Ovis aries: one gene and its partners. The protein of the gene in region 2 interacts with the protein of the main gene of each other region in a pairwise test. Links are inferred from orthologs where the notes say so. Each region holds a gene or a part of one and is shown on either strand. Other genes may lie near its edges.

Evidence for each region. The genes of interacting proteins can lie anywhere in the genome.
Region 1: the proteins of TRIM2 (region 2) and UBAC1 interact in binary tests that used the Homo sapiens proteins (3 or more experiments, as listed by UniProt). The link is inferred for Ovis aries from reciprocal best matches to the Homo sapiens genes TRIM2 and UBAC1.
Region 3: the proteins of TRIM2 (region 2) and CIB3 interact in binary tests that used the Homo sapiens proteins (3 or more experiments, as listed by UniProt). The two-hybrid records come from large-scale screens. The link is inferred for Ovis aries from reciprocal best matches to the Homo sapiens genes TRIM2 and CIB3.
Region 4: the proteins of TRIM2 (region 2) and UBE2K interact in binary tests that used the Homo sapiens proteins (3 or more experiments, as listed by UniProt). The link is inferred for Ovis aries from reciprocal best matches to the Homo sapiens genes TRIM2 and UBE2K.
Region 5: the proteins of TRIM2 (region 2) and LRRC8E interact in binary tests that used the Homo sapiens proteins (3 or more experiments, as listed by UniProt). The two-hybrid records come from large-scale screens. The link is inferred for Ovis aries from reciprocal best matches to the Homo sapiens genes TRIM2 and LRRC8E.

The regions. Positions count from the first base shown.
Region 1 is NC_056056.1:3,458,687-3,462,186, reverse strand, and holds part of UBAC1 (ubiquitin-associated domain-containing protein 1), read right to left. Parts: intron 1,626-3,500; coding exon 1,518-1,625; intron 632-1,517; coding exon 529-631; intron 254-528; coding exon 145-253; intron 1-144.
Region 2 is NC_056070.1:4,654,207-4,658,243, forward strand, and holds the start of TRIM2 (tripartite motif-containing protein 2), read right to left. Parts: upstream 2,801-4,037; 5' UTR 2,701-2,800; coding exon 2,671-2,700; intron 1-2,670. UniProt on the Homo sapiens protein: UBE2D1-dependent E3 ubiquitin-protein ligase that mediates the ubiquitination of NEFL and of phosphorylated BCL2L11. Plays a neuroprotective function. May play a role in neuronal rapid ischemic tolerance.
Region 3 is NC_056058.1:6,629,666-6,633,165, reverse strand, and holds part of CIB3 (calcium and integrin-binding family member 3), read right to left. Parts: intron 3,015-3,500; coding exon 2,867-3,014; intron 1,840-2,866; coding exon 1,644-1,839; intron 1-1,643. UniProt on the Homo sapiens protein: Acts a an auxiliary subunit of the sensory mechanoelectrical transduction (MET) channel in hair cells. Plays a role in regulating hair cell MET channel localization and function.
Region 4 is NC_056059.1:59,576,193-59,579,692, reverse strand, and holds part of UBE2K (ubiquitin-conjugating enzyme E2 K), read right to left. Parts: intron 3,375-3,500; coding exon 3,246-3,374; intron 2,606-3,245; coding exon 2,531-2,605; 3' UTR 1-2,530. UniProt on the Homo sapiens protein: Accepts ubiquitin from the E1 complex and catalyzes its covalent attachment to other proteins. In vitro, in the presence or in the absence of BRCA1-BARD1 E3 ubiquitin-protein ligase complex, catalyzes the synthesis of 'Lys-48'-linked polyubiquitin chains.
Region 5 is NC_056058.1:14,391,051-14,393,744, reverse strand, and holds part of LRRC8E (volume-regulated anion channel subunit LRRC8E), read right to left. Parts: intron 2,518-2,694; exon of another isoform or gene 2,018-2,517; 5' UTR 2,013-2,017; coding exon 1,875-2,012; exon of another isoform or gene 1,866-1,874; intron 1,776-1,865; exon of another isoform or gene 1,628-1,775; intron 1,064-1,627; coding exon 1-1,063. UniProt on the Homo sapiens protein: Non-essential component of the volume-regulated anion channel (VRAC, also named VSOAC channel), an anion channel required to maintain a constant cell volume in response to extracellular or intracellular osmotic changes.

The DNA of each region.
Region 1 (3,500 bases), on a different chromosome or scaffold from region 2:
CCCTCTAAGACCTGGAGGCGGCCGGTGCCGTGCTTCTGGAACACGTGTCCGGGTCCTCTACCGACACTCATGCGCACCGGAGGCGGCTCAGTCATGGGGCCCGGGGCAGAGGGGCGTCACCCGCGGCGTGGGGCCCAGACGTACTGGTTCAGCCGCAGGGCCTTGGCCGCCCTGGTCTCCGGGAATCCCATCTCCGTGAGCTGCCGCAGGGCCGCCTCATCCACGTGCTCGTCCTCGTCCTCGTCCAGCATGGCTGCGGGCCAGACGTGGCACCGTGAGGGCTCGGGGCATGCCCGGCCGCACAAGGGGTGCTTCCCCGAGCTCCCCGCGGGCCCAGCGCCCGCCTCAGCATCAGACTTTTGTGGCTGACCTCTTACACCTCAGAAAACCTGAGACAGACCCATCAGCTCTTGCCGTGCAGGCACGGGCGACAGTGTGAGGCGTCCACCAGGCCCCGTTTACTGCCTTTCCGTGGGGAGTGTGAACAGTGGCGGCCACGGGTGGGCCTCCGCCCGGGCCCGCTCCTACCGTTTGCCTTCCTAAATAATTCCACGGCATCCGGGTTCAGCGCCAGCAACTTCTGAGCCACCTCGATGAGAGACACCAGGATTTTCCGGAGCTCCGTCTGGAACTGCGGTGAAAGCACAAGATGCTCAACAAAGCTGCCTGGATCCGAGACAACACCCCTGGCCTGAAACTCCCAATCTGTGCGTCAAGTCACGCCCAGAAAACTGGGCAGAAGAGTAACAGGGCTCTCAGCAGGGCGGGCGGGAGAGGACCCGTCGCTCAGCTCCAGCCCAGAGGAGGCGTCTGGCCCAATGGCTGCTAAGCGAGCTGAGAGCTTAGGCTTCACTGAACAAAACAGGCGGATTCCATGGGTTCCACTGATGTGGGCCTCTAGCATTCAGTGCAACCAGTTCAAGTTCATCTTCTCAACACAGTGGGGGTCTGCTGGCAATGTCATCAGAAACCCACCAATTTCCAGTCTCCCCGACACTGAGGCTCAGCCATAGTGAGAGACACACGCGCTGGCCAGCGAGAGATACATGTGCCCGGGTTCCAATGCCCTGGCGAACATAGAACTCTCTGGAGGAGACCCTCAGAGGAGTGTTCCTGAACTGACCAGCTTGTGGCAGAGCCTGCAGACTGATCCGCAGTGTTGGGGGCACCACCCCCGACTCCTGCCCAGCGGGCACCGAGTCCTGGCCCGGCCCTGGCTTGGGAGCACTGGAAATGCTCTGCTTTAACTCAGAACCTTCCGATCCAAAATAAGCAAGAGTCAGATTTCTCTCTAAAAGGTTTTTGCCAAACTCAGAAAATTCACATTTCCCCAGAGTATCGAATCCTATTGGCCCTGCCTTTCAACGTCTTCTTAAACCCTTTATCTTGAATTAATCTGCCTACAAAAAAGCTTCAATATAGCGCAGAGTTCCTGCACCCCCTACACCCTGCTTCCCAAGTGCTCTCAGGAGGTCTCCTCGGCCCCCTGTGGCCACAAAGCCCCCGCGGGCACTCACGTCCCTCGCGCTGGTCTGCACCACGGCCCGGTCCATGTTGTGGGAAGGCAGGCTGGCGGTGGCTCGGAAGATAGCGTCTCTGTCCGGGGCTCTCTGCTCTTGTTTATTCTAACACGGGAGAGGAATCGGAAGGTCAGACGTGAGTGTAAGAGCAGCGGAAGGCAAGACTGGTCTCTGACAAACAGCCCTAACCAGGGAGCACGCGCGTCCTGGGGGCTGCAGCCACACGCCCTGACGAGCAGGGAGGCTTCTGGACGGTTCTGTGCGTGGCCTCAGGGACAGAACACTGGGCGGGCGTGGCCTGCTGGCCCCGGAGTGCGGCGGCACCGGGTGGGGAAGACAGACACTGCCTCCTAGGTCACCGAATGATCACCGCCCGGGAGCAACGGTTGGGCGGGCGGGCAGACCGCAGAGGGGCCGTGGAGAGTCCCTGGGCGCGGCCTGAGAAGCCCTGAGCCCAGGGGGAGAGGCACTATGCTGACCCCGGACGGCAGGCCCAGCCCCACGCCACTTGGCTCCTGGGGTGTTGGGCAGGAGAATGCAGGTGCAGGCGGGGGGCACGACCCACCAGGCCCAGAGCGGCCAGTGAGCTCCCAGGGCCTCTGACAGGGACGTGAAGAAAGTCTGCAACGAGCGCGACAGAGACAGAAGTGGGGCAAGGGGGTTGAAGGAGAGAGACGCGCAGAGAAGAGAAGGACGGGCCTGGAAAGCAGAGAGCGAGGCTGCGCAGTGCAGACAGGCAGGAGAGCAGGGGACGCTGTGCCAGTCATCGCAGAACAAGCATCTCTCAGAAAGCAGGTCCCCCCCCACGGGAGGGCCAGAGAGAGAAAAGGGAAAATGAGGCGGGGAAAGTACCAACAAGTACCCAGAGAACTTCCAGAATCTCCAGGGGCAACGTGCGAGCAGCCTGGGAGGGGCACAGACCAGGCACAGAGGAAGGAGAGTGGGGCAGACTGGCTCCACCGCCAGCCCTGGAGACGCCTTAGGGACACCCTGGGGACCGGGGCACAGGCCCATCGAGCGTGCACGCTCCCTCAGCAGCCACTGACGGCTGCACACAGGGCCTCCAGGCCTCCGCCTCTCAGAGATGCTGGTGGGAGTCTGGCCCCACCCAACCCAGGAGAACCAGACGTTTGACTCTAGCAGGCACAAGGGCACGACGGCCCCAAGACGGGCTCCTGCACTCATGGCCGCCTGGCCCGGGGCCCGTGAGCAGGTGGGCTGCAGCTGGGGGCCAGGTCACGGCACAGGGCATAGTGACTGGAGGACAGGGTCGGGGTTGGGGGGGGGCCCTGACCTAATCGGGCGAGTCCGTAAACAGGACGGGCGGGGCTCACCGTGGTCATCGAGATTAAAGCAAGAGGGACCCGACGCGTGAGCTACCCCACTGGCTGCTCTGAAGACGTGGGGAACTGCAGGCCAGGAAGGAGGTGACCTTCGGCAGTGGAGGGTGGTCCTGCCTCACAGCCAGCAAGAAAATGGGACCCCAGCTCTTCAAAGTGCCAGAACAGGATTCTGCCGAACACCCGAAAAAGCCGGAAGCAGAGGCTCCCAACAGGAAGGCAGACCCGATTCCAGCTCCCGAGCGCAGGGCCCAGCTGGGCCTGCCCGGCACGGACCCGGCAACCTGTGTGCTAACGGGGCTGCTCCGAGCCGGCAGGCCTGAGGTCAGGGAGTGTGCAGACAGGGGAGCCGCAGCAGGAGCCGCACGGAGGCAGGCGGTCAGCCCCGCGCAGCATGCCTGACGCAGATGGACGGGCCGGAGGAGCTGAGGGGTGGCTCCTGGAGCAGCGCCAGCAGATGGCCTCACTTGTGACCCCGGTTTCAGACAAGTGTATCAGTTTGGGAGCAGAATCTGAAAAAATGAGTGCTAAGCCGACACAGAGAGCAAACAAAACGAGGAAGGAATTACTGGCTCCCGGGAAAACAAATCTGCACGCAAAAAAAAGGAGAGCTCGCCTTCAGCAACCTGCTCAGGGCAGA
Region 2 (4,037 bases):
TTTCTATCACAGGCTGGAGCCAGGAGTGTCTGACTCAGCTGTTTCCTTTCACCCCCGTGTTATTTGGTTCCTCTGCTGTGTGTCATTCCTCCCAGGGTCCAGTACCACACAGCACAGGCCCACCGTGGTGTGGCAGGGCCAGGCCCAAGGGCCCCCAGCCCCACAGCTGGCCCTCCCTGGCACTTGGCTCGCTGGACAAGGCTGCTGTTCTTTGGCGCTCTCGTTCATTTAAAGGAAGTGGTTCTTGGCTTTCTTTCCCAGCCACCAATTACATTCCCACAGGAGGTCACATTTTGGTTGTGGTGATGGATTCTTGAAAAACTGTAAATTTGAAAATGCCAACTCTATTCCACAGAAACTCCTCACTTCATAACACAAGGTGATGTGCTGTGTACCTTCACATTTCAGGTCACTAATAAGCTGTGTGACTTTGGGCCAGTTACTTAACCTCTCTGTGCCCCAGTTTCTTTCTTCATAAAATGAGAATTGTACTTCAAAGGGATTAGGGAGGACTGAGTGAGAAAATGCACAAAAAGGCCTGGCGCATAGTACGTGCTCAACAAACGATAGGTACTATTTCTGTTAGACTTTGTCATCGTCATAGTATTTCATCCACACAGGCTTGTTTCTTTGGTTTCATAATAGCCCTCAGTATTGAAAAGCTCTAGAAGGGTTCCCTGATGGCTCAGATGATAACAAATCTGCCTGCAATGCAGGAGACTCAGGTTTGATCCCTGGGCCGGCAAGATCCCCTGGAGAAGGGAATGGCTACCCAGTCCAGTATTCTTGCCTGGAGAATTCCAGAGGAGCCTGGCGGGCTACAGTCTATGGGGCTGCAAAGAGTCAGACACGACTGAGTGACTAACACACATACACAGAGGAATACTACTCTATATTGTAAATCTTCTATTTTTATCATGAGCATAAATTCTGTACCTAAAAATGATGCTGTGTCTGAGATTTCCAGAGCCTGGAGTGCCCACCATTCTGATAAAAGAAGGCAGGCAGAGGCTGCCCTTGTTTACGTGGAATCTCCTGGAATTCACCCCGGCTCTCACCACCTCCTCCTGGTTCTACCTCTCTGACCATCCCCTGGGGGTGCTTGTGGGGTAGAAACAGGAGAGTACGATGACCTGAAGGAAGCCAGGATTTGGGAGGCCTGAGGCAAGAGGACAGGGTGATTCACACCTGTGAGCCCCATATCTCTAGGGCAGCACTGGCAGGGCCAGAAGCTCTGTTCCTGGACCAGAGCACCCATGGGGCAACTCGCCCCCTTGCTCAGGCACCCAGACCAGGGAAGGAGAGCCTGGCCGCAGTTGGAAATCACCAGGTGTCTTCATACACTGCGCTGAAACACTCATGATGCTTTGGGTCAACTTCATTTAAAAAAAAACTTTGCATCTGATTTAAGTCTTCCAGGAGCCCTACATCATGTTGGCTTTAAACATGCTGTGTCTGGATAATAAGTACTGAGGCCGGGGATTAGGTGAGGTGGGGAGATTTATAAAGCACTAGATGCATTAAAGCCCCATAATTCACCCTTTGTTTTGTCTAAAACTTGAGCCATACCCCTCCCCTTTTAAGGCTCCTGTCCATATCAAGCAGAGACTGGGTTCACTGACTTTGCACCGTGAGGCTCCTGTGAAAGGCAAAGAGACAAAAGCCTCCCATCAAAGCTGCCATAGTGAGTTTCTATTCAGCAGGAGGCGGGAATTCTTAAAGCAATTCCCAAGGCTTTAGACAGGCCCAGCCCCTCGTCCCTGCCTGCAGCCCAGTAACTGCGCACCTCCTCCCTGCTTGCCCCTTGTGGCCCTCTGCCCCAGGCGAGGTGCCTTACTCTGCCTAAGCGGGGGGCGGGGGGCATCCACGATGCTGCAATCCGGGACCAGAGGCGGATGCCTGAACGGTTCTCCGCCCTCCTTCACTCACGCGCAGAAACCAGACAGAACCCCAGGAGGGCTGGCGCAGCCCTTTTCTGGGCTCGCTCCCGCCTCTCACGTGAGGTCTTCAGGGCCCCCGGGTTTCTTCCTCGGCTAGTCACGGACAAATGCTCTCATCGCCCCAGGCTTTCCCTCATTCCCGAGCCCCACTGCAGCCGGCCTTAGTACCCTCTGAACACTTTAATGGGGCAGTAAAAACTTTACAGCCTGCAGCTCTAAACCGTTCTCACGTTTCTGAATAAAACAATTTATGGCACACAAGATTACTACGGTTTGCCCTTTGAAAACCCCGCAGATTCTAGACGCATTCAAAAGAGGCTGACCGAGTTACACTGGCCGACAGCTGGCTTACAGAAATCCACAGCGGCAGAGCTAAATTCTGGCTGCGAACGGCTAAGTCAGAAGAGAAAACAGCCCTAGAGTCTCACGGCATCACCAGGCAGCCCCGCGCTTTGCCTCTTTCATGTGGCTTTGGTGTCAAACCCGCTTGCGTGCGTCTCTCCCTGGATTTTTGCCTCCCTTCTCGGTTCTTGCCTGGATCCACAGGGATCCCTATGAGCTTCGTCAGCAAATCCAGAGACCCAATCTGTTCCTTCCGTCTTGAGCAGGCAGAAAATTAAAACCAGGAAAAAGCTAGCAACTCGATCACTACTCGTTTCTCCAAAACAGTGCCCAGGAGCCGCCTGTGAGCCCAGAAAAGGCATCTCAGTGCCCTTAGAAGCGCCCTTACCGGTATTCCATATCCGCCTCTCCGGTGCATCAGAGACGGGCCCCTGCCTCCTTGGATGTGGGGCCTCGGCGCTCTGCAACCCACAGACAATCGGGCCCATTATAGTCATCAGGCCGCCGAGTTAAAGGGTGGCCCTTAGAAAAATATAAACAGCTTGTCAGCGCCAGCCAAGGGGGCGGGGCTGCAGCATCAGGGGACAATGGGCGCCAATGACCAGCCTCTCTGGGCTCTGTTGGCTGAGGATATCATGTTTCATTTTGAAGACGGGGAGACAGAGAGCAAGGAACGCCGAATAAGAAGGGCCAGCCCCGCAGCATGAAAGGGGTCTGAGCTGAAAAGTTTAATCACTGCCCGCAGAAGATGATTTTCAAGGAGGAGTTTGATGCCTCACACAAAATAATGCAAATTTTTAGAAGTCACAGACGTTCGTGTTGCATTAACCATCTCTGGTCTCCTGGGCTTAATAAATAGAGTATTCACTGGGGTAGAAAGGGCTTTTTCAATCAAACAACAAAGGAAAGGAACAAAGTCCAAGGAAGATGCTTTTATGATATGTTTTTGTTATTAAATAGAATATCAGATAAGTACTTACTACATTTACAGAAAAAATGCTTGATTTGATTGGTTTGTCTTCAGAACTCAGAGAAGTGGGCACATTTTATTCGCCAAATATATATGCCTCACGTTAAAAAAAAAAATGCTCACAATCTGATCATACCTGCACACAGAAAACAGGAGTTAATTCAGTGTATAGGGGGGAAGGCAAAGGCAATGGCTTTTTTCTCTCTTCTGAAATTAACTAAATCCTACTTGTAAAGCTACTAGGCCAGCTTAAACTGTCGAAACCCTATGATAATAACCAAGAACCCAAAAATAAACTGTGGCTTTTTAAAATAAAATTTCTAAATAATACACTGAAGTAAGAATAAGGTTAAGAGCTATTTGGCTGATTTGTGGTATTGTGTAAATTATAGGCATAAAATCTTTGAGAAAAGCACAGTCATTACAATTGAGACTAGTTCCCTTATTTATGAAGGAAGCACAACAGCTATCAAAATTGACTAGCAGAGAAACAGAAAAATATTGAAATATAAGCATTTCCACAAATTTTGTATCAGGCTTTTCTGATTTTGATTATAAAAAGAACAATCCAAAGATACTGTCCTTTCTGATCTATGGTAGTTTAAAAATATTTATGATTCTGCCACTGATATTTAACTTATATTAAAGTGAGACTCCTCCGGTGCGTGCATGCGTGCTAACTTGCTCAGTCCTGTCTGACTCTTGTGACCCCATGGACTGTAGACTGCCGTGCTCCTCTGTCCATGGGATTCTCCAGGCAAGAATACTGGAATGGACTGCCATTT
Region 3 (3,500 bases), on a different chromosome or scaffold from region 2:
AGACTCTTGAAGAGTCCCTTGAATACCAGGGAGATCAAACCAGTCCATCCTAAAGGAAATCAGTCCTGAATATTCATTGGAAGGACTGATGCTGAAACTGAAGCTCCAATACTTTGGCCACTTGATGCGAAGAGCTGACTCACTGGAAAAGACCCTGTTGCTGGGAAAGATTGAAGGCAGGAGGAGAAGAGGAAGACAGAGGACGAGATGGTTGGATGGCATCACAGGCTCAATGGATATGAGTCTGGGCAACCTCCGGGAGATGGTGAATTACAGGGAAGCCTGGCATGCTGCAATCCATGGAGTCGCAGAGAGTCAGACACAACTGAGAGACTGAACGACAAAATGGGGGTAACAGCTATCCCTCTTTAACTGAACTGCAACGAGTGGAAAGTGTTGGAAGAATGGAAAGAATGGAAAGTGTTCATCGCTCAGTCATTTCCAACTCTTTGCGACCCCATGGGTTGTAGCCGCCCAGGCTCCCCTGGCCATGGAATTCTCTAGGCAAGAATACTGGAGTGGGTAACCATTCCCTTCTCCAGGGTATCTTCCCCATCCAAGGATCAAATCCAGGTCTCCTGCATTGCAGGCAGATTCTTTAACATCCGAGCCTCTAGGGAAGCTTGGTGGCTCAGACAGTAATGAGGGCTAAAAAGAGGCAAATACACAGAGCAGGACACACATCGGGTACTCAGTCAGTGGCAAGGGACTCATCGTGATGTCATTATTCATGTCTCAGTGGCCACGAGACCAGCCTTGCTTATCCGGGGTAGAGGAAGGAGGTCCTCTGGGCATGAAAGCCACAACAGTAACAATAGCGCACAGTTATTGAGCACCTACTGTGTGCAAGGAACTGCTCTAAATTCTTTCCATGTACTAGCTCAAGGTCAGTCAAACTTCCTTCTGCCAAGGGCCAAATGATTGATATTTACAACTTTGCACAATGACTCAATGTCACCTTAAAGCTCAAAAGCAGCTGTGGACACTGTGAACACAAATAGGCATGGCTGTATGCCAATAAAACCAGCAACGGACATGGAAATCTGAGTTTTATATCACTTTCATGTGTTGTGGAGTATGTTTTTTTTCCCCCAATCATTTAAAAATGTAAAAACCATTCCAAGCTCATGGGAGATATAAAAACATCTTCTATGTATTCCCACCCACCCCCTTTATTAACTCATTTAATCTATGCTGGATCCCCTGGAGAAGGAAATGGCAACCCACTCCAGTATTCTTGCCGGGAAAATCCCTTGGACTGGCAGACTACAGTCCATGGGGTTGCAAAAGAGTCGGACACGATCGAGCGACTGAACAACAACAATCCTCCCTAGAGCGCTGATTCTCCCTAGGGTTGCCAAGTACAGTTGTCCAGTCTGTTCACTGCAAAATGTTAAGGCAAGTGAGGGCTGAAGTTCCAACCATGTTCTACTCACCCAAAGAGCGTGTCCACCCCCAAGAGGTGTCCCCAGGGTCTCTAATTAGCCCCATTCAAAAGACACAGCCTGAGGCCAGGGAGGTCAGGAAAGTTCCCCAAGGTCACAAATGAAAAAATGGAGGAAATTTCAGAGTCTGTGGATCTAATCTGTGAGCGCTCCTTTCATACATGGGAATGGATTGTGCAGAGTGGAGAGGAATATCACCTGAGGAAGTCTGGTGCCCGAAGGATCATGTTCTGGAAGTCTTCCAGGGACAGCCGCCCATCGTGGTCCCCATCGGCTTCATCCAGCACCTTCTCACATATCAGGCTCACCTCCTCAGTGCTCAGCTCCCCCCGAGTCAGCTTAGTCACCGTCTGCTCCAGGTCCCACGCACAGATGTAGTCATCATTGTTAAAGTCTGCAAAGCAGGACAAGTGGGGACATGGGGGTGACCAGACAACAGGGACCAGGCAGGCTGGGCCAGTGGTGAATACATCTTGTCCCCATGTGACAAAGGAAGAAACTGAGGCAGTGGAGGGAACCCAAGACCCTGGGCTAACAGCCAGATCTTGCTTTGGAATTGGGTAGGTAACTGCTGGGAGGTCATTCACTCACTCAAGTATTAATGAGCACTTACTATGTGTCAATCTCTGGGGGCCTAGATGGTACAGAATCTTCCTGCAACGCAGGAGACTCAGGTTCAATCCCCAGGTGGGGAATATCTCCTGGAGAGAATAGCTACCCACTCCAGTATTCTTGCCTGGAGCATCCCATGGACAGAGGACTCTGGCAAGCTGCAGTCCATGGGGTCGCAAAGAGCTGGACACAACTAAGAGACTAACACTACTACATGTCAAGCAACTGATAATTTTTTTCATACATTCCCTCTTTCAATAAGTATTTATTGAGTGCCTACTTTGTGCCAGGCACTGTGGTAAGTTTTCATTCATTCATTCAACAAATATTTACTGAATACCTACTGTGTGCCAGAGACAGATGGCAAACCAAACACTGTCACTGCTCTTGGGTCTCTTCAGAGAGAAAATCAACAAGATGTGAACAGACGAATGAACAAGAAGTTAAGCAGCACTGCTCCATGCTAGGAGAGAAATTGCATGTGGCATGGGCAGTGAGGCAGGGACTACTCTGGACCGAAATATCAAGGTAAGAAGGAACTAGCGGAAAGGTATTCTAGACAAAAGGCACAGCAGAGGCAAAGGCCCAGAGGCAGAAAGGGTTTGATGTGTTGGGGAGACAGCCAGGCCAGTGTAGCTGGATGGAATTACCAGAGGGATAGAGTGGAGGGGGAGGTACCAAGGTGGGGTGAAGGACAGGGCCAGGCAGGGCCTCAGAGCCCTTGGTGAGGCATAGGCGATGGCCATGCAGTCCCTGACCCAAGACCTGGGTTCGTTCCCACTTCCCCACCCTGGGGTCTGCGCACACACCGTAAATTTTAAAAGCGTAGTAGGCTTTGAGGTCACGGGGAGCCATTTCACTCATCACAGAAAACATGTCCAGGAAGTTGTCCAAGGTCATGTGGCCATCCCCATCCTCGGAGAAGACCTGGGCGATCCTCTGACGGAAGGGGTTGTCCTAGAGACAGGAAATCCATCCCTTACCAGGTTTTCTGGGGCTCCGTGTGGTTTCACCGTCAGCCCCCACCTTCCTGGGAACCTCTGAGTACCCTTCACCAAGACTCTCTTCCTCCTATGATCCCTGGAGGGGACTCCAGGCAACTCCAGTCTCCTCCTCTATGGCCTGGGCGCCAGTTAACCCCAGTTCTGGCTTCAGAGGCAGTCACATGACCCCGGTGAGGCCAATCAGGGATTTCCATTCACCTGGCAATGGCGAGTGCCTCTCGGATGATCATGTGACTCGAGATGGCCAATCAGAGGCTGCCTCGGGAGAGTTTCTAAACAGTTGGGGTGGAGGAACCTCATTTCTGCTTGTTGCAGAGCTGATGGGAGGAAATCTGGGGCAGTTGGTGTTTCCCTTTACTACCTCAAGAGAACAGGCTGCCTGAGACTGAAGACTCGTCCTGGGAGAAGCTGAATTATGGAGGGGGATTCTGAAGCACAG
Region 4 (3,500 bases), on a different chromosome or scaffold from region 2:
CAGCAAACTGTCTGCCCAGATGGGATAAAACTACACATACATTTAACTATAATTTTTGAAGCCTTTACAACTAACAAATCACAAACCACTGAGGATTATAAAAATAATTTCCAACAGGATATACTTTCCCTAGACCTGCACTTTTACTATTCTTTTTCTAAACATATATAAGACAGGAGAAAAAAGCAACTGCCTTTATTTTTATGTTTGGGGAAATAAATCTATCTGTAGAAAATAGGAGAAAATAGGAAAAAAAACAAAAACCCCGTAAGAAGGCGATAGTGGGAAATGTACCAGAAAACAGATAATCACATTAAATGTAAATGAGGTAAATTTTTGAAATGAAGATCCATTATGGAGAACCTCTCATACCAAATATTGTAGTTTTCCATTTCCTGGACACTGGGGATGTTGAATTGCAGTTAGATGAGTATACCCTAAGGGACTAATGTGCATAAAAGTCATAGGCAAGTTACAGCTGCCGCCAAGAGCAAAGTATACAATGCTTGATCCTTAGTAACTTCTGAGTTCTCTCTCTCATTTGTCAAACCACAGGACAATTAAATATACCCTGATAATACAGGCAAATAGTAAACTGGGTAGAGGTGTTTGATATTTAAAATAATGCAAATATTACTAACATTACCAAGCCACCCTCCACTAAACAAAAAAAAAAAAATAATTCTAAACAACAATGGAACAAAAACTGTCCACATTTTCACACAATTCCAACCTTACCTCAAAATATAAAGAAAAGTACATGGTTTTAGCTATTTAAAATAAATAAAGAAAATCTTGTTTCCTTTGGCATCTTTAGAAAGTAACTAAATTACAATTAAAGAAGGTGATTGTATAAAGAAATTTATACTTAGGCAAACAAAGGGGAAAAAACAGCAACTTGTGTTTAGTATGCAATAAAATCAACTACAAGAGTTTTACTACTAATTAGGAAAACCTTATGTTTCTGGAAGAACCTTCACATCTTAACATTACAATATATTTAATAATGGTTCTTTTTATTGCTTCTAAGATTATTGAGAAGTCAAATGAAATTATGCTGAATTTACTGTTCAAAACTATTTTCCAAACACTTAACCATTATAATTTAGGATAAATAACACTTGAAGAAAGCAAAAACCTTTTATAATATGACTTTCCATATACAGCCTTACTTTAATTCATTCAGATTTCATTACATTTTTGTTATTTTTGCATTGGTCCTGAATATTTAATAAGAACTGTGTTTCTATGTATAGAACTGCCTACACAAATCCATTTCACCCTTCATAAAATGTTCACATTAGTGTTAGAGCTTGCAAAACTAATAATTTTCAAACTTTAAACTTGGAGTGAAGTTTAACTTTAATACGTATAGAAAGTCTGACTATGTACAAGAGAAGGTAAAGTTTTCAATTCTCATATTATCAGAAACATCATAAAGAAAGCTAGATTTATAACACACTTCTATTCCTATGTGCATCTGAAGTATGTACAGTAAAACACCAACACAGCTTTCATGTGTTAATAGGGGGAAGTGCAAGCAATCTCTATAAAGCCAAAATCAGGCTAAAAAACCTGCAAACAGTTGATTTCATCCTTGCAAGTTCTCAAAGAAAAAGTCCATCAGTTTAAAAATCAAAAGACGTTAAACTCACTGAAAAATTAAGCTGGGTTCTTTTCATTTAATCTGGGAATACTGCAACATCAAGTATTTACTGTTTTTACAAAAAAAAAAAAAAAAAGAAAATTGGCAGCTCCATTTTTACAGTATTTATATAGGAAAGTTTTAAGAGTGGAGAATTGTGACAAAACATTCCAAATGGATGACCTAAAATGGAGCAAGGGATACTGTCCTTCAGCACATTTCCCCACCAAATATAAAGAAATTTATTATTAGAATATTAGCTGTGTGTGGAAAGAGGGGAAAAACAGATATGTTGTCCCAGTCTGTTGACAAGGACAAAAAGGCTCTGACTAGGTCACCATCTTCATTTCTGGATAAATCTCATATTGAAGAATTCTCAAATGCTTAAAATGGTGGTCTTTTCAGCTACCCATCCTAAGAAGTCAAGTACAAGCATGCAAGTAAATTCACAGGCACAGAGGATCCATGTTAAAAACAGTTAAGGTAGCTGTGATGCAACACCAACAATTTGAATGGCCCTGACACACTCAAAATATTATCTTAATTATTCAACGAAATCCTGAAGCAAACTCTTGCTAGTCTTGGTATACTGCTAAACACTAAAGTAGCATGTTTTTTCCATGGTTTTAGCTTAGCTCAAAAGAATTTTTACACTATTAAGTAAGAAAAAAATTAAAGTATTTCCCCTTTTTAAATTTACACAGACGTTTAATTAGCTTTATTTACAGAGCAGGGATTTTTTTCAGTCTCCAATGGTGCCTAGATAACATCATTAGGCAAGAATGCCAGTTTAAAAGAAATCTATGCAGAATCCTAAAAATAACAGATGTTGATGCTCCTCCAAGAAGGGGCAAGCTTGACTATATCAGCATCTCTCTTTATGTTTCAGTTACTCAGAAGCAATTCTGTTGCAGTCTCTACATCCCATGATTTTGAAGACAAGGCCACTATTACCGCATTCTGTAGAAAAGAAAAGGGGACAAAATAAAGTCTCAAGGAAATATTTTAAAAATACGGTATCACTCAGTCTTTATATTAAAGAAACCACACCTTGTTTTTTCATTTTTAAGTTACCCTGCACTTGTAGTGCATTAAAAACTCTAAAACCAATGGCTAGAGCTTCTTTGGTGGCTCAGAAGTAAAGAATCCGCCTGCCAATGCAGAAGACACAGGTTTGATTCCTGGTCGGGGAAGATCCCACATGCAGTGAAGCAATTGAGCCCACGTGCCACCATTACTGAACCTGTGCTCTAGAACTCAGGAGTCACAACGACATGTGCCGCAACAAGAGAAGCCATCACAATAAGCAGCCCGCATGCCACAACTAGGGAGTGGCCCCAGCTCGCCATAACTAGAGCAAAAGCCCAAGCAACAGTGGAGACCCAGCACAGCCAAAAATAAGCAAATAAAATTATTTTTTAAAATAAAAAATCAATGACTGGAACCAGCCAAAGTTTAAAAAAAAAAATTACTAGTTTTAATAACAAAGTTTGCTTATCAAAATTAGATTCAGAGTACCACTGAACCACTTTTGTCAGCCAAGGATTTGCAACAATAATTTAACAAATAAATAAAAATCAACATGCCTGTATGTACTTACCCTATCAAAGCCCATAGCACATAGGTTTTCTATTTTTTTGGTGTACTCTGGACTAGAAACTGGTGCTCCAGCATACACATGTGCCCAAAGTCGAGCTGTCTGTTTGAACATTTCAGGATTTTGTTTGTACTATATGGAGGAAAAATTGTTTGATATGACAATGCAGTTATAGTATTCAAAATAGGAACTCATCTCTTAATTGCCTAAAAACCTGATTTTTCTAAATAAATATAGATTAGATTTTTTAAATGTGAC
Region 5 (2,694 bases), on a different chromosome or scaffold from region 2:
TCTCGGCAGTCCACTCGTGGTTGAGGTTGAGCTGCTTCAGGCGGCTCTCGCTGACCTCAGAGAGGAAGACAGCAAAGCGCTTGGAGTACAGCGAGTCGTACTGGTCGATGAGGTGCAGCATAAAGGCGAAGTCGTTCTTGACGTCGGGGATGTCGCCCATGCCAGTTTCCTCCCGAACTGACCGGAAGGAGTACTCTTTGAGGGGCCGGTGGAAGAGCCAGTAGAGGGTGTAGAGACAGGTGATCCCGTAGACACACACGAAGGAGATATAGCAGAAAGCCAGCTTGGAGAAGAGGTGGGCTTTGGTGTGGTTGCAGCAGAAGCTGGCGTAGCCTGTCACCTCCGAGGTCTCCACCCTGCAGGCCACCAGGAAGCTGATCTTCCCCACATAGACCAGGTTGTAGACCAGGATGGCCAAGAACTTGCAGACCTTGAGCACCATCTGCCGGATGTACATGGTGTACAGGATGTCACCCTCCTCCACGTGCACACGGAATTTCTTGACCTTTTCAAACAGGGCTTTGGCCTGCTCCCCCTCCTTCTTGTCCAGCAGGGTGACAGCTGGGGGCTCTGTCACCACCTTCTCGGGCTCTGGCAACACCTTCTCCTTCTCGCCCTCCCCTGCCGTTGTGGTCAAGGTCACTGTCGCCTGCCCAGCTGTGGTGGCGGCAGGGCCCTTGTGGTTCTCCCCGGAGACCTCAGACAGTGCCCGAGTAGTCCATGGCGAGTCAAAACACTTGCCCAGGATGGAGATGAAGTGCTCGATCTTGGAGCTGGTGCCGGGGAACTTGAACCAGAAGCTGGTGCAGACCATGAAGATGAGCGTGTGGATGACAACCAAGTAGGGAAAGTACTTGGCATACCAGTGGAGGGCCGTCTCGTAGCAGAGCTGGTTGATGAAGCTGTACTGCTGTAGGTCCAGGTTGTTCTTGAGGCCGCTCAACTCCCGGAGGTCCCCCATGGGCTCTGAGACCCCCCGGGGCAGCAGCTGTTGGCACGGGGCTTCAGATAAATTCTCCCGGGGTTCATGACTGGGCAGACAGATTATCTTGTCCTGCGTCACCTGGGGATGGGGGCGAGGGTATGAAAGAGGGTGAAGGATCTGGGGTGGCCTGGGAAGTTACAGGGAGAGGAAGCAGGCTGCAAGCAGGAGAGGTCTGCCTTGATCCCCAGCTGTCCTCAGCTGGCTGTAACTTTGGAAGAGTCATTAAACCTTTGAATACGGGACTTTGTCTGGAAATAAAAGAGCTGGGTTGATTCGTGTTCCTCAAAAAGATGTTAAAGACCTAGGGAATTCCCTGCTGGCCCAGTGGCTAAGACTGGGCACTCTCAATGCAGGAGGCCTGGGTTTGATCCCTGGTCAGGGAACTAGATCCCACATGCCACACCTAAGGGTTCATGCTCCAACTTAAAAAAAAAATGAAGATCTCACAGGCTGCAAGTAAAAATGCCACATAAGGCAACTAAGAACTGGTGCAGGTAAATAAATATTAAACAAAAAAGATGTTGAAGTCCTAAGCCCCAAATACCTGACCTGTGATTGATGCCTTATCTGGAAATAGTGTTTGCAGAGCAGATGTAATCAAGTTAAGATGAGGGAGAAATTTGGGCACACACACACACTCACACTGAGGGAAGATGCTGTGAAGATACAGGGAGAGTGTCCTCTATCATCCAAGGAATGCCTGAGGCCACCAGAGTCTAGACGAGAGGCACAGCCTTCGCAAGGAACCAGCCCTGTCAACACTTTGATTTCGGATGTCCAGTCTCTAGAACTATGATAGGATAAGGGAAGACTTCCGGAATCTCCCAGACCCCGCCCCTGGGAAACCCCGCCCCATCCAGGCCACGCCCCGCCCCGCCCCGCCCCTTACCTGGAGGGTGCACCCGAAGACCCCGATCATGAGCATGGCCACGGTGAGGTACTCGGCCAGCACGTCCCACCAAGGTTTGAGCACCTTGAAGGCGGGCTGCTGCTCCGTGAACTGCTTGAACTCCGCCACCGGAATCATCCTTCCTATGAGGACAGCAGGAAGCTCAGGATAGGGCGCCTTGTGAGCCAGGCCCCCAGAAGAGCCAGCATCAACGCCTCTGCTCCCAGTATCCGCGCTCCGCCCCGCCGAACTCCGGCAGAACCCACGGCTGTGCGCTCCCTTCCCCTCCCCCGTCCCCTAGACCTCACCTCCTTCCTGGAGCCAAGCGACTAAGACTGAATGCTTGGCTTAAGGTGGTAAGTACTTACTGCTCGGTAAGTCCTCACCACCTCTGTTCCCAGGCACCCTTGCCCCGATGGGACTGGGCTTGACCACTCAGAGTTCAGAAGGGGCATTCCACGAGGCCGCTGCACCACCGCTCGTCGGTGTGGCCTTCTCCCCAAGCCCAGGCATCTCCTCCCACCCTTGACGCCGGTCCCAAACACTTCGCTCTGCTTCCTTGACTCCAGACACCCGGTACCCAGGCGGCTAGCCCCGGATCCCTCCGTCACTGGACCACAGAGTCCCGAGATTCGGGACTTCCGGGGCGTGGACCCCCACCCCCTTCAGGGGCGCTCTGGGCACCACCTCCAACCTCCAACCGGAAAAGCCGGCTGGAGCCTGGCTCTGGTTACCGGCCCCAGGGGCAGGGAGTGGCGGAGCTGAAGGCTTGTTGGCCCTGGGGGGTGGAGGGTGGCAGTGACGAAGACACCTGGGTTTC